Oreochromis niloticus: one gene and its partner. The protein of the gene in region 2 interacts with the protein of the main gene of each other region in a biochemical or structural test. Links are inferred from orthologs where the notes say so. Each region holds a gene or a part of one and is shown on either strand. Other genes may lie near its edges.

Region 1 (3,924 bases), on a different chromosome or scaffold from region 2:
AAGTTTGTTTGTTTGAATCATGTATTCATTTCAGAGAGACGGTCTTGGGCTTTTCGGAGACACAAAGTCTCAAAGCCTGAAAAAGCAGAGTGCCTGCCAAGCCGTATCAGATATGGCTTCAGAATTCGCGTCTTATTAACATCACACAAGAACCATATTTGAACATAGCACCTCACAGATCTTCAAATTCCCTTTAAAGGGATTTAATTTAGGAGTTATTTAACCAATAAATTATTCCAATAAAAATGTTCACATAAAACTTCTTTTATATGAATCTGGATTTTCAGGCTAAACTCACACTTGAACAAAAATAAAGAGAGCGTTCTCCTTCCCTGTCTTTTCCTCCTCTCTGAGTCTCTTGGGGCTCTCTCTGACTTCCTGCCATTAAAGAGACGGCCCACTGGAGAGCAGGGGGTGACTGACATATAGCTACCTTTGCTGTATGACCGATGCGACTCAAAAGGACATCTGTGGAATTTTGCGGTTAACACAGAGAAAAGTAGGAAGACGTCAGGAAAACAGAGATGTGTTAGACAGAGACGCAGCAGTACGAGATGTCTGTGCGTGAAAACCGGACAGCTGTGTGACATCCAGAACGAAAAGTTCAGTGCAGTCAATGTACACAGTTACGTAACCAAATACCCCAGTCTGTCCTCTTTTGTGTGTTATCAAAAACACATATTTTGTTAACTAATAAAAGTCTGTTTGTCAACTCAGAAGCAAAGAAGATTAGTGCCACTATGAGACCAGGCTGCTTTCTCAACAACTGAAGGAGTTATGAGGTGTAAGTCAGCCAGTTGACAGCCGTGCATTTTAACATTTTTGATGTTGTCAGTGTTTTATGTGGTAATCTCTGGAATTTTATTTTGAAAGTGGCCACACAGCATCACCCTTTGGGGGGGATACGGGTAAAAGAAAGCTGCACTTTTCCAAGGCACATAAACTCTCCTACTGACAAGCACTTTGACAAACTATGTGTCGACTACATGAAAACAGCAAACACTGCATGGTTTTAGTCTGACAGCCTCGTCCACAAACCAAAACAAGGTATCTAGTGAAGCTACAAACAGACGCTCCGGGGAGACCACACACCCAAGCAGACACAAATATCTCAACAAATAACACACAGCAGCGTGGCCACTTCAAAAGAAAAAACTCATGCAGATGTAATTCTAAGATTTTCTGCGTGGTTCTAATTAAAACAGGAAAATTCCACTGCGTTCTTATTTCAGCTTATCATTAAGCCAAGATCATGTTTAAAAGAAAAGAGAGGTCTAGCACCTGATGCTCCACATACAGTTCCTCCTTACCTTCTGTAGCCACTGGGTGTAATTCTCCATAACGTTCTCCAGCTGCTGGATCTTCTGGCTGGGAAAGTCTGGCTCAGGTGGTGGAGCGTCCCTCTGGAGAGAGTTGGCGTTGTACTGCGAGCTACTGGCCTTCGCTTCCTTGCAGGAGCCTCCTCCAGCTCCCTCTCCCTCAGGTAGGATGAAGGTGTAGGTGCACTGGCCATGCTGGATCTTATGAAAACGTCTGTTATTGGAATTACTACTGCTGCTGCTACTACTACTAGTACTCCCTCCGTTACTGCTACTGCTGCTGCCGTCCGTCCCTCTCCGTTGCTCACCTCCTCCGCAGCTCACGATCACCAGAAGCGCCGCCAGCGACAGCAGGTGACGACTGTAGTGGTACCACAGCATCATATCAGCCTGGAAGCGCTGTTGAGGGTGATTAAATTTCTTGTGTCTCTTGTTTCCCCTTCTATGCTTTACTAGATGTTCTCTTAAGGGCTGAATCAGAAAACGTTAGCCTGAAACATGTATCCTCCATCCTTAAGTTGGACCTCCAGCAGTCAGAGTTCATGCAGACTTTTTTGCCATGGACGGGACACACATGCTATGTTTCCAAACCTCCTCTTAAGTTTGTGTCCTGGCAGGGAAAGTTGCACACATGTCTTGGAGTGTGACAGCTTGGTTATATTTCTTGGTGTTCCTCCAGTAAATCAGAGCCTGCCTGCGTTTATCAGAGTGTGCATTTAAAGTAGGTGCTGGGTATGCTGGGATAGTGTCGTCAGACCTCCCCTGGTCTCTCTGCCGTCCTTTCCTCCTCTGCTCGCAAACTTAACGACTGGGGGTAGAGAGTGAGAGAGAGAGAGAGGGAGACGCTCACTCTGAAGAGCAGTTCCAAGCTTCCAGCACACTCTGCGCCTGCCCCTCGCAGAGCCTGCAGAGGAATGTGACTCTGTGCATGGACGCATTTGTGTGTGTGTGTGTGTGTGTGTGCGCGCGCGCGAGCCAGTGATCCTGGCAGAAAGAGACCTCAGCACAGAGGACATGCTTACACTGTGGGGATCAGCTTTCAGGCCGGTTTATGTGGTTGACCTGCTCCCTTGCCTGTGTAAAAAAAAAAATAATAATAATAATAATAATTTGAACGCACGCATTTAATTTATCTCTTCTTTTCTCCCTGTTCAGCTAATAACAGGTGCTAACCTGTCACCTGTGCTCGGGGTAGCTTTATATGTTCTTCTGCTTATCTATTGAAAGTACAAATCCACAGTCAGGACAAGCATTTTTTTTATAAACTGCACCACCTAGATGGAAGTAGCCATAGGATCAAACTGCAAACTTACGTAGTGGCTAGTGGTCAGCAAACCATAAGCCTGAGCTACATTTACCACAAGATATTAAGTATGTTTCATTCCATAGAATTTGTTGCAGTAAATTTAAAATACTATTAGAGAGCACTCAAACACCAAAAATGCTATCTATTCTCATTCTATCATTTTGCTAATGTTTGCTAAGTCTGTCTGACACTATATATACTGTAAGTAGTATATACGTATATGTACATGCAACTATTTAATATGTACTATAGAGTAAAGTAAAAATTCAGTACACAGTCACAAAGCACCTGTGGTTGGATAAAGTCTACTCTCATGCGCTAAGTTTACTAATGGCAAACGTAAGTCAGCAACCTCCTTATGACTAATAAAAACCATGTTTTTCCCAGTGATTTCATTGTATTGCATTGCATTCAGCAACCAACTGCAAGTAGTTGCCACGACCAGCTGGTTGCTCAGAGACTGGAGGTGCAACATCCTCAACCTCTTCGTGACCACTTTTGATTGCACAGGTCACCTCCTGGGTAATCTGTCTCCAAACAACTGCAGTCTGACTCAGGCAGACTACAATCACTCAGAGAAAGTTTGCAAATACTCACTGTCTAGTTTATAAATGCAGACAGATTGCCAACGCACTGCAATCAGTCTGAGTCAGTCTGCGCCAGTGAGCACAACTTGTCTCCAATACTTCTTTATGCAGTAGAAGACCTGACACATCTGGTTGAAAAATGGTTGTGTGGAGCCTGAACTATGGGAGGTCTTGTCCACTGAATTTGTACAGTAACGGATTATTAAACTGTAATTATTATGGCTTGTTCCAGATTTAAAATCATATGGCTTTTTAGGTGTCATTTTGCTTGGTATCTTAACTAAGAGTTTACATATGCACAAGTATATCACATGCCTTCCAGTGTCACGTTTTCATGAAAACAAAAGTGAAATCCAAGAATGAGCAGGGGATAGATGGAATGCCTCTTTATCATTAAGCCAGAACAAGGGGCAGAGTGAGGAAACACAGCGCTGAAAGACCCTGGGTTAAAGGTCAAGTCCTTGTTACGGCCAGCCTATTAAAATCTCTGATTCCGGGAGACACAGCTGTCTGATTTCTGGCTGAATTTCAACATTCCTCGTCAGTTCAAGACATTCAAATTTGTGTACGTGCTTGAGTGTGTCTGTTTTTCTGTTTGTGTGTGATGTATGTGCAAATACTGTATCCAGCGTATGTTTATGTGTATCCTTCTGCTTATGCATACTTACAGTACATGTCACAGTATTCTGCATAATCCTGTGTGGGTTTGACA
Region 2 (3,924 bases):
CCCACAGCCAACTGTGAACTTGACGGCCTTTTGTTTGCCACAAGGCCAAAATGGAATCACTGTAACGTGTAGCCAAAACAGTGAACCTGTGTGTACCCGTTTCAACTTTTGATCCCCCCCCCCAACTTGAATCAACAGCACATCTCTTTATTCTGGATAGTATTTTGACCATTGTATATCGTTTTATTTATCCATTAAGTATCAACACTTTCCAAAGCTTATAAAATTGCAGTCTTTGTTTTTTTTTTGTTTTTTTTAGGGAAGCAATACAATAGAATGTTCCTTGCAGGCTAAAACAGCCTGTGTGTGCTCCCGAAATTGAAAACAGGAAATCTCAAACAATAAGAAGTTGTGTCAGGTTGTCTGAAGTTGCAAGGGGGAAAAAAACACCACACAAGTCCTACAGTTTTTGTGGAGAGAATTAGAAAAGGCGTGTTCATTTTTTTCAAAACAGACCTAGCAAAGTGAGAGCACTTTCAAAAAGTTGGGGTCTGAATAGACACAACAAGTATATTGTTCATCATTTCCTGAGGCTGACTGATTGTGAAGGAAAGAGACTGACTGGTCATAAAAGCTGCAGGGTTTGCGCGCTACTCATTGAAGTGAAAGAACAAAGCTGTTGCATTTGGCAAAACGTGATTTTGGCTGCCAAAGTATTTGGTATCTGCGCAAGCCGCATCAAGGGCAGCAATTAGGTACAATATCCGCATTGAAAGATGTTTGGGAGGTGCAGGGTATAGTAGTCAATATATTTTAATAAAAATGCATTTATAACTCCTCAAACAGTGTATATTTTAAAATGGTCAATAGCTGACATTTCATGTTTTTTGTTGTTGATGAAACCTAAAAAAGTTTCATCCTAAATCCATCGTGCCACAGAACAGCCGTTTTACTAAATCATGATGTTCAGTGTATGTAAAAGCAATCAGACGACTGCTTAACGTTCAGCATTGTACTGGAAGAAAAAGTGACAAAATTTGAAGTCAGAAATACACTAATCGTGGATCGGGGAGGTCTGGAGCGCCAGCAGTCCTCCGCTGTCTGGTGACGCTCTTCCTTCCTTTCCCACCCAGAGAAAGCTGAGCTTCACCAAAAGTTAGACTCTCTGCTTAGAGTGACAGTAGAGTGATCTCCCAAAACCAGCTGGTTACCGACGAGATTTTACAAACCGAACGGGAGAATTGGAGGCTTCGACGAGTTATGCGTAAAAAAGCGCACCGTCGTGACGCAGCGTCACCGTTTTGGATGTAGAGCTCACCCTAAAAAGAATCACACGCCGGCAGTTGAATTCCAGCTTTCCCCAATGAGGATTACAAATACCACGATGATTCTGTGGGTGTTTGCGTTGTGCTTCTTTACTTTATCAGGTAAGAGGGAAACTATTTCAAAACCTGTCTGAGTAGCTTACGGACCTAGAATATTTTTGAGAAATCTTATATTAAGGAGGGGATAAAAACTAACGTCCAAGTTATACAGAGATAACCCAACCTTGATCCACTTATAGTTTTTAAGCAATTTTTTTCGTTTGTCTGAGACCTTGTCAGCACAGCGCGTAGATCTATGTACCCTCAGGGAATAAGGAGCTCATCCATGTTTCCTTCCATTGTTCTGTGGATTTGGGGCTCACATACCAGGGAGAAGGAATGCTGGGCAAACTCATGTTATTGGATTTGGCACTTTTGTTAATGCATCATTCCAAGAGGCGTTTATGTTTGAACCCAAACCCCAATCGGTATTCTCAGTAATCTGTAATTTTAAGTCGAATGATCTTCCCCATTTAACGCAATATGATAATAAGGCGTTATTAACCAAAAAAAAGAGTTACAACACATGCTTCCCTTCGATTCAATATTTATTCCATGTGTCTGATAGATGAGTTTTATGAAATTAAGTTGACACAATCATCTTTAATTTAATGCAGAACTTCAAATCTGACACTTGATCACAACTGGAATGAAACAGTAGTTCCACACTGCTAACGACTGAGCACTTTAACAGCTCCAAGATGACCATGGAGCAATTTAGTAATGTGTACATTTCTAGGGAAAAGTAATACAAATTGAAAAAAAGCGTATGTATTTTCTGTCACTGTGTGAATCACTTAACATTAAAAATAATGGGTCTTCCCCCTGAAAAGACAACTCTCCATCTCTCTGAATAATTAAATAAGGTTTGTTACACGTGATTAAAAAAACTCACACTGTTGCCTTACATCAGAGAATGACTAATGCTCTGTTTTACAGATGCTGTGATTGACCTGACCATGTTCTCTGCAGCCATGATCAGAACCCCCGAAAACTTCTCCATCTCTTGTATCAATGGAGAGCGCAACTCTGCCCAGGCTGAGTTGGGCATTAAGAAGGACAACAAAATCCTCATGTTCTCCAGTACCCCACAATATAGGGTGCACAAGTCCGGAAATAAAATGGTTGTGGCCAGAGACTTTAGTCACCTAGAAAGCATTGGCATCTTCTACTGTGAATCTTCTCAGGAAGTTGGCCCAGTTGAAAAGATCACAATGATTAACAACCTTGACAACGGTGTGTTTGCACTTCACAAAACAAGACTTTCTTCAGAGAGATTTATTTTATTGCTTAAATCTATTATGCATGAAATACATGTTTAAATGCAACTACTTTCAAGGGTGTGCCATTAAAAAAAAAAACAATAACAGCGTCTTTGTTCCTTACAACAGATTTCGTTCCAAATTCCCTCACACTGATTGCTAATCTAGGTGAGACAGTTAACCTCACTATGCACTTGATCAACTCCCAAAAGAGAGATGTGACCTGGAAGTACAACGGTGAGTCAGCGTATGCAACTCGGTATAGAGGAAGGAAATTTTTGTGCAAACGCAGGCTCAAACAATGACATTAATGTTGTCGCTTGTTTTTGTAGGAAACTACTATTATATGACACACTGGAACGACATGATCAATAAAACTGCTGAGCTAACGGTGGAGAATGTAAAGCTTGACAATCAAGGTATCTACAGTGCCAGCTATGTTGGAGACAGCCCTCTCAAGGGTGCCTGGATGAGGCTCATTGTCAGAGGTTTGTTGGGTCTCACACACACAAACACACACACACACACACAATCAATCGGTGTCAGATTAAATCAAGAGTTTTGTAGCATTTTTTGGCTCAGATGTTCAGCTGAACTCACAAAGGATTACACAAGACATGCTGAAGTTGACTCAGTGCGCGTTCTGCTAGACTGATTGAGATGCAAGAGATTCCTCAGCTCAAAATCTTTCTATTTAAATGGAAGCTTGTGGAAATCTAAGTTACTGTTAAATACTAGCCTACCCTAAACTGTGAATTCACTATAGGCTACATCTGCACATTTTATTTGGCAAGGCATGTGCAGCACATATGTTTGTGTCATTTCCTTTATCTCAGTACCCCAAAGAAAAATTACAGCATTAACACTATCTCCACCCTCCACCTGCAGCCGGCTTCTTCTTTGTTGTCTCCACCAGATGCACATTTTACTGTAATTTAGCATGCATTCAGTACTATGAATCCTTTTTTCATTTAAATAGGTCACATGTGCTTAAAAAAATATCCAAAACAGAATATAAACACACAAAAGGCGAAATACACGTAAATGCTATCGAAGGTGTTTGAAGTCTCTGTGCTGTTCTAAGTAAAGAATCTGTGTTTCTTTGCAGGTTGCCCCAGTCAGAAGTGGGGTCCTAACTGTATTAGAGATTGTCAAGAGTGTCTCAATGGTGGCGTGTGTCATGAAGTGAACGGAGACTGTATCTGCCCTCCAGGATTTATGGGAACACGCTGTGAGACAGGTTTGTACTCTACTCAGGCAAACATCTGCATCTGCAGCATTGTATGGGAGAACTTTCTGTTTGTGAATGAGATCAGTAAAAAGGAAGATAGAGGAGGATAATACAAAAAGGGTGTGCA

What was found.
Region 1: the proteins of tie1 (region 2) and angpt1 interact in a biophysical measurement, tested with the Homo sapiens proteins (2 studies listed by BioGRID and IntAct, with this or other methods). The link is inferred for Oreochromis niloticus from reciprocal best matches to the Homo sapiens genes TIE1 and ANGPT1.

What each region holds. Positions count from the first base shown.
Region 1 is NC_031985.2:14,962,225-14,966,148, reverse strand, and holds the start of angpt1 (angiopoietin-1), read right to left. Parts: upstream 2,169-3,924; 5' UTR 1,704-2,168; coding exon 1,311-1,703; intron 1-1,310. UniProt on the Homo sapiens protein: Binds and activates TEK/TIE2 receptor by inducing its dimerization and tyrosine phosphorylation.
Region 2 is NC_031981.2:32,931,569-32,935,492, reverse strand, and holds the start of tie1 (tyrosine-protein kinase receptor Tie-1), read left to right. Parts: upstream 1-1,056; 5' UTR 1,057-1,303; coding exon 1,304-1,367; intron 1,368-2,243; coding exon 2,244-2,540; intron 2,541-2,695; coding exon 2,696-2,803; intron 2,804-2,898; coding exon 2,899-3,054; intron 3,055-3,674; coding exon 3,675-3,806; intron 3,807-3,924. UniProt on the Homo sapiens protein: Transmembrane tyrosine-protein kinase that may modulate TEK/TIE2 activity and contribute to the regulation of angiogenesis.